Linked DNA regions of Tribolium castaneum. The protein of the gene in region 3 interacts with the protein of the main gene of each other region in a biochemical or structural test. Links are inferred from orthologs where the notes say so. Each region holds a gene or a part of one and is shown on either strand. Other genes may lie near its edges.

Region 1 (4,348 bases), about 8.2 Mb from region 3:
AAATAATAGATTTTCCAGGGTATAGGTAGCGGTTTTATCAAATTTGAATTCAAAACATGTGTTAAAAAAATATTTTTATTTAACGTCGTTTTTACCGTGTTCATCATAGTCGTTCTTAATTTGTGTTTTAAGAGCAAGCTAAACTAAAATATTTCTAGCGAAGGTCGTTAAATCGATCAAGTATTTTCTGTTACCAAACGAAACTGTCTATCTTTGCTTTTGTACGCATCTCACGCACAAACAAAATATTATTGTAGCGCTTTAGTAGATTCCCGTTGAATACATTTTTATCTCAAAAAAGGTAATATTAAAAGAATTAAAAATTAAATTTACCTACTTATGTGCTACCTACTAGTAATTTCTATTGACACTTAATTAAAAGAAATGATTTAAGACAGGTACAAAGATAGAAAAAAAAGCAGGTAAAAAAGGAGAATTGAAAAGTTATGGTAATCCAATTGTCTTTGTTTATAATTTATTATTAATATTGTAATCTAATAAAAAATCTAAACTATTATTCTTGTGTGTCGTTTTGATTATGGAGCGATTCTTACTTATTTTTACATAATTTTCTCTTCCTTATACAGCGTTCAAAATGATGTTGCCAAACTTTACGGTGTTATAGAGGTCACTAAGATAGAAATGTTTTGCTGATAAACGCTGATAAATGAGCCGTTTTGCCTCTAGAGTCATGTCTTTGTCCAGAAATGATTACATTCAAAAATTCCCATAAAACTTACGTTTCATAACGTTATTTCAATAAATTGTCAAAATACCACTGCCTTATTTCATGTCAGTTTGCTCTACTTGCGTTAATGTTTGATAAAAAAGTATTTTAAACATGTATACATTTGTCAGAAAATAACAACAAACATCTATTTTTATTTTTTTTGAATATTGATTAATTTTTCCGGCGCATCCACCATTTTTTTAATTTGCAGTTTGTTAATAGTAAATTGTTTTACACTTGTTTTTCTTATATTTTCTGTACACTTGTACATTTTTGACTAAAGTTATTCAAAGTAGTATTTGGAAATGTTTAATTTGATAATTTCTCCCGGCGCATCCACCATTTTTAAAACGCTGTCTTGTTCACTTTAAGACACCAACTGGTGTCAAAAGGCGGTGGTGTGTGCATGTGTTGTTGTCATTAAGTCATTGTTAATTCCATCTTTTAATGTTTACTTCCAAGAATTTGAACGAGTAAAAAGCCTGATGATGTTTATTACATTAACTTTTAACTAAACTTTTTAAGGAACTTGGTCTTATCGTCGTGAATTTTTTTAAAATCAATCAGTCAAGGACGTTTAAAAAATTTTTATTATAACAATTTTTACACAATACTAGAGATTTCATCATTTCAATTTGAAACAGTTGTAAAATTTGGATTTTTTCAAGTCACAAGACATTCTACTTTGAAGCAGATTTTTTTTAAATAATTATTTCTTTTCAGTCCTATAACTCGCTTACGGGTAGTCCTATAACAAAAGTGCATAGGACCAATTTTTGTAGGAAATTTCATCAGCTTTAATTTTTGTAAGAAGGTGAAAACCGACAATGATTGTTTCCGTGGTATAAGAAATAAAACGAAAAATGACACACTTAACCCTCTCCCCCATCTCGAGCTCAGCCTCCATCCTCTGGGATTTTTAATATCTGTCTATCTAAAGAACGCGTTTAAAAAATTCCAACTCACTAGGAATTTTTGCCACCAACCGCCCAATTCTTGTCTGGTCTAACTTGACTGGGCTAGATACCTGATTTATAGCTGGAACACATTTTCTAAAAATGTTATAGAGACCCTCAGTAGTAACCCAAATTTCAAATTTAGATTTACATTCAATAAATTTGGTAACTGTAGAAAATTTTAACTTTATGATAGAAAAAGAAATTTAAAAAAGTATCTGAAAATATTTTGGCGTATATTGTTTTTAATTGTCTTCAGCGACTTTTAGTTTTTAAAATTAACATTGATTTCCCTGTACCAGAATTTCGGTTTAGCTCGCTCTTATGGTGTTAATGAATCTGCTGCTTCTAGTTAGGTGAGCGGACATTACGATTGCAAACATTTTAAAAATTTTCGCAATGCTCCTTAGTAAGCGTAAATATTTTTAACTTTAAATATTTTGACTATAAACATTTTAAAGGAAAATTAAATTTTGTCCAGTACTATTTTTAGTGTGGAGTGTTTTTGACTAATTTCAATTAAATAATTAAAAAACGTACGTTGGCGCACAATTCGGGGCTATTCTCACAAAGGCCGGTTATCTGCTTTGGCTGCAGCACATCATTCCAGTTTTGGGGGTCTGAGTGCACCGTGAAAGCCCCCGATTTGCAAAAGTGGCACCGAACTCGCAATTTCCCATTTTTGAGGGCTTTACACGTGGGGCAATAGACAAAAAAGTGGACTTTGCGTTGCTCGGTGGGCCCTTCCTCGTAATCATCGTTTGAAAAACTCAAATCTGATAAGGTCTCACACAGAGGTTTGCCCTCGTCACTTTCCTCAATTACGGCATTGTTTAAAGTGGGAGGGTTGGGCTTTTTGGTGATTTTGATAGCGTGGAGGGTGCTTTGTTGGCCCAAATCACATTCCTAGAATGACTAACTGGTTACGACTAGTGGTATTGAGGGCAAAACTCACAGAAATACTAATGTTGTCTCCCAGCTCTTTTCCAGCGAAAATAATCTTTACCTCGCCTGGTTTCAGTCCCAATTGGGGCGCAACGAACTCTTTCACCTCTTTTATGTCCCAGGTGGGGTCCAAATCGACCGAAAGCGTATTCCCTGTGTTGGTTTTTATGTAAATACTCAAATTATTGCTCAGCGTTTTTCTACTAAATGACAGAAATTGTAACATCTTATGCAACAAATCTTTAATTACGTTGATAATAAAACTCATCATCTGTGGTAACCGCGGCCGGGCTTATTTTTAGAAAAAAACATTTTTTGTGAGGAAATTTCATAACCTCATTCTTGGGGATTGTCGATCCGTTACGTTGGTTGTTGTGTGAAAAATTCCAGAAACGTCAAAACAAACAAGATGGGGCAAAGTGACGACCCATACGCACAAGTTTGCAAGGGAAAATTGCAATTAAAAGGTGATAACAGCATTAAAAAGAAAAAGAAGAAGAAAGATAAGAAGTTGTTAGAGCAAGTGAGCAAAATTGTCGAAAGTGAGACACCGGAATCAAAGCCTGCGAGGCAAAAAACAAAAGCCGAACTTGCGTTCTTAAAACAGCAAGAAAAAATGGTAAATAAATCACATTTCGTGTTAAATTTGTTGCCTGATTGTTACAATTTGCAGCAAACTCAACGCATCTTGGAAAAAGCGTCAATGACACACAAAGAAAGAGTAGAAAAATTCAACCAACACTTGGACGGGCTCACGGAACACTTTGACATACCTAAGGTCTCTTGGACTAAGTAAAATATTTATTTAAATAAACTTCTTATTTACACTAGTGTGATCAAGGATTTTCTTCAAATTCCTTGCAAAACTCTCATTTGAGAATTTCTCCTGCAACACTTTGCGCCCCTTGAGCCCCATTGCCTTGTTATCCGACTTGAATATCCTGTACATGAATTGCGCTAAACTGTCGGGGGTCGGTTCGCATAAATAGCCCGTGTTTCCGTGGTCGACTGTCTCTCGGGGGCCCCCACTGTTGCACGCAATGACGGGCTTAGCCACCGTCATTGCCTCGAGGGGGACAATGCCGAAGTGCTCCTTCACGGGCGTGTAAACGAGGCAGTCACACGCCATCAGAAGTTCCGTCTTGACGTCATCGGGGGGCGACTTGAGGAAAATAATCTTGTCTTGGAGCCCCTTCTCAGCGACGAGTTTCTCCAAGTCGGTGAAATAACTGGCGTTTATGGACGATTGGGGGTCGTAGCCCCCGGCCATAACCAAGAAAATGCCTTTACGTTCATTTTCCGAGGTGATTCTTTGCAAAATTTCCATCGCATTGATGGCCAAGTCCAGTTTCTTGGCGGGATGGAAGCGGTTGATGGAGAGGAAGACACAGGCGGCGTTTTGGGGTATTTCTGGGATTATTTGGTGGATTGGTCTGGGGTTTTTGGTGTTTTTGACGGCTTCTAAGAACGAGGAGGCCACTGTGGGGTACACCACTTGTACAGTCTTTGTGATTTGGGGGAAAGTCTCCCGGAAGACCGAAGCCGTGTACTCACTATTCACTAGAATGATATCAGCCCGAGCTGTGGACTTTAACTCCAACCAGTTTATGGGCTTCCTGTAGAAATTTTTTAAGGCCCCCCCTGGCGCACTGGCGAGCAAGTCCGGGTGGTGACAATAATAGATAACTTTTTCGCCGAATAATTTCAAAATTGGCAC
Region 2 (3,112 bases), on a different chromosome or scaffold from region 3:
CATACTGTCGAATTTCAATTTTTCGACAGTGACCACGTCGCTTGATAGCATCAATTCGTTACAAAGTATACTTGAGTTGGACCAAGACTGTAGTGTAGTTTTGCAAGGGAGGATTGGGCAAGGGTTTTACGGGGAAGTGTATAAAGGAACTTTGGAATATCCCGGAAATCCTGAAATTGAACCGAGAATCGTGGCAATCAAAAAACTGAAATCGTCAACTGTGTCTGCGTGTTTGCAAGACTTCGAACGGGAAATTAACATTATGAAGACTTTGCAGCACCGGAATATTGTTGAAATTTTGGGGGTTTCCCGGGAACCGGATATTTCCCTAGTCATGGAGTTCGTCCATCATGGCTCTTTGCAGAGTTATTTGAAAATCAATCGAGAGTCGTTGCAAATTAAACAGTTGTTGAAATTCGCGCTTGACATTGCTGAGGTTTGTGGCCTTATTATTTAACCAACTTATCAAATAACATTTTTTATTGACTAGGGAATGAATTATTTGGGCAAGAAAAACATCGTCCATCGGGACTTAGCCACCCGGAATATTTTGGTAGCTGACGAAAACCACGTCAAAATCTCCGACTTTGGCTTAGCGCAAGTCATTGGCACTAATGACTATTACATCTTGAAAACAAACCGGGAATTGCCGATTAAATGGTAATTAGCGAAAAATCACGACTTGAATTACTTTGGTCTTGTTAGGTACGCGCCTGAAAGTTTACGAGACGGCAAGTTTTCCGTGCGTTCCGACGTTTGGTCGTACGGTGTCACAATGTGCGAAATGTTCAACTGGGGCGAAGAGCCGAAATTGTCGAATCTGGGAGAGGAGGAAGTCAGAGGTCAAGAGCAGCAAGTTCTCTTGAACGCCTTGGAGAGCGGGGCCAGGTATTGGTCCGTTGCTGACTTCGTTGGTTTTATCGTTGCCTTTTATAGATTTCCGTGTCCTCCAATGTGCCCACAAGCTGTCTATATACGGATTATATATCCGTGTTGGCACGCGGACCCCCACGAGCGGCCCGCGTTTAGCGTCCTCGTCCAGGAAACGCAAGACCTGCTAACGCAGTATTGAGTGATATTCAGTGCCCATGCAAGGGTGAGCACAGGAAAGAGCACCACTTTGTATAATCTTTTGTATTAAGTTATTCACAAACGCCTATTTAAGATCAAGTGTTAGATTTTAGTTTAAATAAGTACCTGTCGTTTTTATTATTTGCTCAATTTATTTGGAACAAGCACTTCTCGTGCCATTTCTCAGTGCAATCAACTTGTAAATATGTATATTCTATATTTTAAAATAAATGTTAATTTAAGGTTTTTTGCATCATTTCGCTGGACCATTTGTCTCTTTGAACAAATGGCCATTCGGTTTAAAAAAATGCGTTAAAAGCCGCGAATTAATAGCGATAAACATTGAATAATGGTAATGAAAGTACAATTAAGCAGATTTATGGTGTTTTGGGGCGTTTTTTATTGTATTGATTGCGTTTTTCGAGGCGGTTTCGAACTAGTGGGACTAAGGAGTAATGGAACTTTCTAGATTTTGAATCAAATGACCAATGAGTTGTTCCTGTGCTGAATCAAATTGATTTAAAATTATTAGATAAACTGGCGTCAACCAGCAACGATAGCTGCAACAGAATGGACATAGATCCATCTCCGAGTACTTCATCCGGTAATAAATCCTTCTTATCAATATGTTTTTAGGTTATGTCAAAATTTTTGTGTTTGACTAACAGCCCGAGTTTCAGGCTTCTTAATGGATCTGACGTACTCAGGATTGCCAAGGATCGATGAAAACAACACCGTGGATCCCAAATCGCCCAAAGAGCGGGTTTTAGAACTGTTAGATATCTTAGAAAGTCATGTTGAGAAGTTGCGGAGGGAAGCGGCGCAGTTGGAGGAGGACCGGGACCACTTGTTGTCATCCCTGGACTCGGTTAGAAACACTGATTTAATAGTCGACTTACCGGATAGTAAGTATACCAAAAGTAAAAGTCGTTCGTAATTAATTATTTGTAAGATGATAGGGATGATGTTTGCCAGTACGCTGAGCGCATCATGAGCCGCTGCCTCACGGTGGAAGTGAAGATTTTAACTCAGCGTGATAAGATGCAAGAAGAAGCCTTGCACCAAGTGAATCATTTGATAGACAGTCTTGTAATGTGTGTGAAATCGGATCCTGAAAGTGCAAAAGCTAGATGTATAACCTTCATGAATGCTTGTTCTTCGAATGTGGTGCACGGGATCACGGATAAAAAGTTCGAATCGGCTTTGTTAGGATGTACCGTTGACGACCAAAAACGGGTAAAGAAACGGCTTCAAGGTTTGTTAAATTACTTTGATAAACTTAATGTAACTTCGATTCCATAAACTTACTTAATAGTGCGTTGTTATTGATTGTGGCCCGCTTATTGCCATTATATACACATTAAATCGTTAGTATTTAACCAATTGAGTTGTCTTCATTACGGCTTTAATACAACACAGTCGTGTTAACTTAAAATAGCCACTGTGATTGTTTAAAAGACACTTTATTTATAATTGATGAATTAAATAAAATTATTAATTCATGTATTACTTATTTCCGTGAAATAAAATACTTAGGGTCTCTTAGATGAGTCACTGTAAGCGCTTGTTTCAAATCTTCGCTTGTTGTTGGTGAATCTGCTATAAAAGTGACTGTTGTAACAAGAGAGTGTTGAATAAAACCGTTTTCAAGAAAGTGGCCTTTAATATCGTGCGGGTCCAACCAAACGAAAAGACTAGGGGCGTCGGCTTTCACCCACACGTGGAAGCGCAAGCCTTTCGCGTCAATCATATCAACTGAAATAATCTAAAACAAAGCTAAAGCTCTTATCGGTTAATCCCCCGGAAAAATTACCTCAACATTGGAGTTTTTAAGTTTAGCTTCCTTAAATTTTGAAGGGAAAAAGTAATTAGACGGGGTCAAAACTGTGCCGTCTTTCCCACCAACAATATGCACAAAGCAGTTGTATTTTGCTACATCTGCAGCGCCACACCCGGAATCGGACAAAAATTGGTCCACATCGTATGATGCAACTAGTCTTGCCACCAAAGGCTCCTTCAAAATGCATTAATCACGACGTTT
Region 3 (4,198 bases):
CTTCATTTCGGACGCGACAGGAACCGCTGGCTTGTGGATCTTACTCTTCTGTGTCGTTTGTATTTTTATTAACTTATTGTTGTTGTTTAAAGTGATTTGCCAGTAATTTTGTTCATTGTTACCAAATTTCTATTACCATTAAATTGTTGAACGATTGAAACGACTTTTCTTAAACCCAAATATATATTTCAGTGAGTAATAGCAGTAATGTACAAATCAAGTGTTTTTATTTCTATAAAACCGAATCTATAGAAAGAAACACTAACCATAATCACAATCTAGCAGTCTCATGTGTCTAACTAAAACAGCCCTCGACCTCGCAATAAATAGCCTTAAGTTTAATCAAGTTCGGGAAGATTTTCCTGAATCCAGTGAAGCGCATTTCTAACATTTGCTAACTTAGCTCTACACAAAAAACTAGAAATCAACAAATACTCGGGATACGTCCTCCTCCAATTCCTTGTAAATTTCTCCCCAAAACTCTTATTATTGATTTTGCCCTCGCACAAAACCTTCGTCGTCAAACTCAACAACCACTGCAAAATCTAAAAACAAACGAATGACGATTGCTATTTTACCTAAACAAAAGACAATCACCTCGCCACTTGTTGGTACTTTCAAGCCCGGCTTTAGCCACGTGCTAGGTGCCCACAAAAACAACTGACAAACGTTGGCCGCAACTTCCGGATCGAGACGCTATTTTGAAAAATAATTTACCCTTAATGAAAAACAAAAAAATCATTACCAACCTTATTGGGATTGCGCTTCAGGAGATTGGCCACCAAGGCTTGAATCACAGTTGGCACCTCGTCGGGCAATTTCGGTAAATCCCCCTCCTTGTAATTAAAGTTTTTCAACCGACTTGGGCCATAAAATGGGTTATGACAGTTGAAAATCTCGTAAGCTATGGCTCCTACGGCCCACAAGTCGGCTTTGGAATAATTCAAGACGCTGAAAGTGCCCGGTTTTTGGCAAATAATTTCGGGGGCCATCAATGCAGTGTTGCCACCCTTATCCATCTCATAGCTCGTGTAAGGGAGCGACAACCCGTTGGTTTTATCAGCAAGACAACACCCAAAGTCGCTGATGACTAAAATGGGGCTTTCGGGTTCGCTGGTGTCGAGTAACAAATTATCGGATTTGAGGTCGCGGTGTGCTATGCCGTGAGCTGTCATATGAGCCACGCCTTCTAGCAACTGGGCGAGTAGGAGGAGCGATGTGCGGGTTGATGGAGCTGTTGAGAGGAAACTTTGCAAGTTGCAATCGTAGCGTTTCATAAGGAGGAACAGCGACATGTTCCGGCCTTCGCCCTCGGGGTGGAGTCTCGGGGGCAGAGCCGCGGGGTACAAGTCCTTACTACCCTCCAATTCTTGGATTAAATCAGTAAAAACGGAAAATATGGCAACGATATTGGGATGCGGTGGCAGATGTTTCCGCCGATTGGCCAACTCGATTTCCCAATTGTTCAAATCGTGGTTGCTGTAATACATCCTCGCAGGAACCGTTTCGCGATACATGGCCTTGAGGATTTCCATAGAATTTGATTGGATGTCGTAGTTGAACATCATTTTCAGCGCGAATGGGTATTTGTTGTCGTCGGTTTCGTCGTCTTTCACTTTAGCTGAATAAACCACGCCATTGGTGCCTTTGGCTATCGGTTTGCCCAATGAGAGATCGTTTAAAGTGATCGGGTTCGATTCGAATCGGCTTTCGTCGATGTCGTAATACTGCCATTTGATTTTCGAGATGGCTTCGCGAATTTCCCAACACACACCTTCAAGTTCCTCTTCTTTGGTTAAAATTCCGGTACCGGAAGCTATGCTCACGCCCACTAGGGCAAAAAACGGGGCGGAGTCGCCGAATAAGATCCTGGAAAATGAAAAAGTTCAGACACGCCCACCGTGACCACGCCCACATATAGCATTATACATATGTATAAATAAAGCGTGATTACATAGCACGTTTGATTGTTGCATCAAAGATAAAATTAGCTTGAATAAAAAATTAAAGCTCAAATTCCTAATACAAGTCTTATCAAAATTGTGTTTACTGAAAATGTAATTAAGTTATAACAATAGAATTTTATGTTATGTATCGACGTAACTATTAAAACAAATGAATTACCAGCAATTATCCTAAACTGAATTAAAATCAAAGAAGGCCTTGAAGCCATCCTGCGTTAAATAAAAACACAAAAAAGCACCACTTTTAAATGTGGTTTTTTAAATGATGATAATAAATCACAATTAAATTAACACTCTGCCTTTCGTAAATTGCTAATAATTAAGAAAAAAAAGCAAAAATTCACATTTTTGTTTATGCAATGTCACTGATTGTCACAGCCAACTTTGATTTTTTTAATATTGTTATCCTTACCTTCTGGTGGCCTTCTTCCTCAGCTCGGCCGAAAGGCTGTTGGTGACCCTATTAAGCACATTATCGATCAGAATCCGCCTCGCCTGCAGCCCCAACTGGACCCCCACATTTCTCAGCGCAAAATTCTTGGGTATCTGGGTTTTGGGCAACGAAGACGGGGCTGCTGTTGCTTGTGAAACGGCATTAATTTTGTCGCCAATTGTGGTATTAAGGTCTCTTTTACAGAATTGTTGGATAAGACTTCTACCATGTTTAAATAAGCGGCTGCCGACGGCGCGTACGGACATTTTGTACCGCGTGGAGGGACGGCACCCTCAGCAGGGCACTCGGAGAAGAATCAACACAAAAAACACACGGGAAATTTGATTTTTAGAGAAAAATTCCGCACTTTGACATTTCGCCCCCTTGAGGCACGACTGCCATCTTTATTTTCAAACTCGGGAAATCTGGCCCAATCACCAACAGGCGTCTGCTCAGCGTCTTTGTCTATTTTATAAGCTAAAAAGAGAGAGACGAACCGACGCAAGTCGTAGATACGCCACAATTGCATAAAATTTATTTTTAAACTTTTTGCGTCTTAAGTTATGACTTTAAGATAATTAAAACTTTACTCAAATAAGCCAAATTGGTGTTATGCTTCGGAAAGTAGGGTAATTTATCATAAAAATTATATACTTGATGAAACTGCAAGTCTCGCCCGTAGATGGCGCGTTGATTGTTTGAAAAAATAGTGGTCTATAAATGTTTAGTTTAAATAAATATACACTGTCCTAGTTTTAAATTTAGCCTAAGTTATTAGGAAGGGGTAATTTTAAATAAATAATTGCGTAATAAAAGTCGCACAGTGCCTTATTTTCATCTGTTCTAGATGTCAGCACATGGAAAAAAAAAGAATCAACGGTTATTATTGACAGTTGACACCTGTCAACAATGAATTTAAAATCAGTGATAAAAAGCTAAATTTCGCCAAATACAATCACTTTCCGTTAAGTTTTCCAAATCCCTAGTCATTATTTATTCACCATGAAGTTCCCCAGTTGTACTAGTTTTATTTTAGTGTTAATTTTACTTTTCTTCAAAACTTGGCAAGTTCAGACAGGTTTCACCGATTATGTAAAAACAATAGGAAGTTATTTTACGTTCACCGAACCCGAAAGTGATTCTGTCGGTGAATTCGTCCAACGAATTCCCTACGAAGTGTCCACAGTCGATGAAAAATTCATATCAGAGGCAGCCAAGCTCACAGGTGTAGCTTTATCAGAGCTAGATTCATGCCAGCAAAGAGTAAATATGGTTTTTTGTATTTGCAACCCTTACTAACTTATCTAGAACAGGTGGTACTGAAGCTACGCTCTGATTGCGATAAGATGAACGACGAGCAGCTGGCTAAAATGGCAGTACATCTCCTAAACTGCCAATCGTACGTTGAAGGGCGCCCTATTTTTCCTTGCACCGATGACATGAGCATCCGCGACTGCACCGGAAGCATGGACTCGGACACGTGGACGAGCTACCACCTCATGAGTAACCGTGCAAGAGCCGTCTGCTACACCATCAGACAAATGCAGTTCCGCGGAATGGCAGAACACTCCATAAACAGACTCATGGACACGGCCCGAGACCAACTCAAAACCCTCGGGAAAATCGCGGAAAATCAGCAAGATCTGCACGACATTGCTGAACAAACGCTCAGTTCGTTAGCGCAAGGTCACGAGATTTTGACCAATCAGCAGCGAGATATCCAAAGAGCCCAGTTCCACGGCCAGCTGGTCTTGGAAGATAATATCCGCAAGCTATCACAAGAGAAAGAGTTGATCGTTGA

What was found.
Region 1: of the proteins of Pink1 (region 3) and park, one has a biochemical effect on the other in vitro, tested with the Homo sapiens proteins (12 studies listed by BioGRID, with this or other methods). The link is inferred for Tribolium castaneum from reciprocal best matches to the Homo sapiens genes PINK1 and PRKN.
Region 2: the proteins of Pink1 (region 3) and BAG family molecular chaperone regulator 2 form a complex in vitro, tested with the Homo sapiens proteins (2 studies listed by BioGRID). The link is inferred for Tribolium castaneum from reciprocal best matches to the Homo sapiens genes PINK1 and BAG2.

The regions. Positions count from the first base shown.
Region 1 is NC_087398.1:11,672,233-11,676,580, forward strand, and holds the start of park (E3 ubiquitin-protein ligase parkin), read right to left. Parts: upstream 2,903-4,348; coding exon 2,642-2,902; intron 2,593-2,641; coding exon 2,227-2,592; intron 1-2,226. Other genes in the region: protein FAM32A, read left to right, coding at 3,041-3,250, 3,305-3,427; alpha-1,3/1,6-mannosyltransferase ALG2, read right to left, coding at 3,437-4,348. UniProt on the Homo sapiens protein: Functions within a multiprotein E3 ubiquitin ligase complex, catalyzing the covalent attachment of ubiquitin moieties onto substrate proteins. Substrates include SYT11 and VDAC1.
Region 2 is NC_087396.1:11,144,939-11,148,050, reverse strand, and holds BAG family molecular chaperone regulator 2, read left to right. Parts: upstream 1-1,459; 5' UTR 1,460-1,641; coding exon 1,642-1,675; intron 1,676-1,751; coding exon 1,752-1,976; intron 1,977-2,023; coding exon 2,024-2,373; 3' UTR 2,374-2,577; downstream 2,578-3,112. Other genes in the region: hop (tyrosine-protein kinase hopscotch), read left to right, coding at 1-436, 491-660, 706-888, 937-1,072; beta-mannosidase, read right to left, coding at 2,582-2,836, 2,885-3,085. UniProt on the Homo sapiens protein: Co-chaperone for HSP70 and HSC70 chaperone proteins. Acts as a nucleotide-exchange factor (NEF) promoting the release of ADP from the HSP70 and HSC70 proteins thereby triggering client/substrate protein release.
Region 3 is NC_087398.1:3,464,547-3,468,744, reverse strand, and holds the start of Pink1 (serine/threonine-protein kinase Pink1, mitochondrial), read right to left. Parts: upstream 2,850-4,198; 5' UTR 2,664-2,849; coding exon 2,377-2,663; intron 1,870-2,376; coding exon 750-1,869; intron 697-749; coding exon 598-696; intron 546-597; coding exon 339-545; 3' UTR 107-338; coding exon of another isoform or gene 1-106. Other genes in the region: zinc finger protein 346, read left to right, coding at 1-106; protein brambleberry, read left to right, coding at 3,400-3,660, 3,711-4,198. UniProt on the Homo sapiens protein: Serine/threonine-protein kinase which acts as a sensor of mitochondrial damage and protects against mitochondrial dysfunction during cellular stress.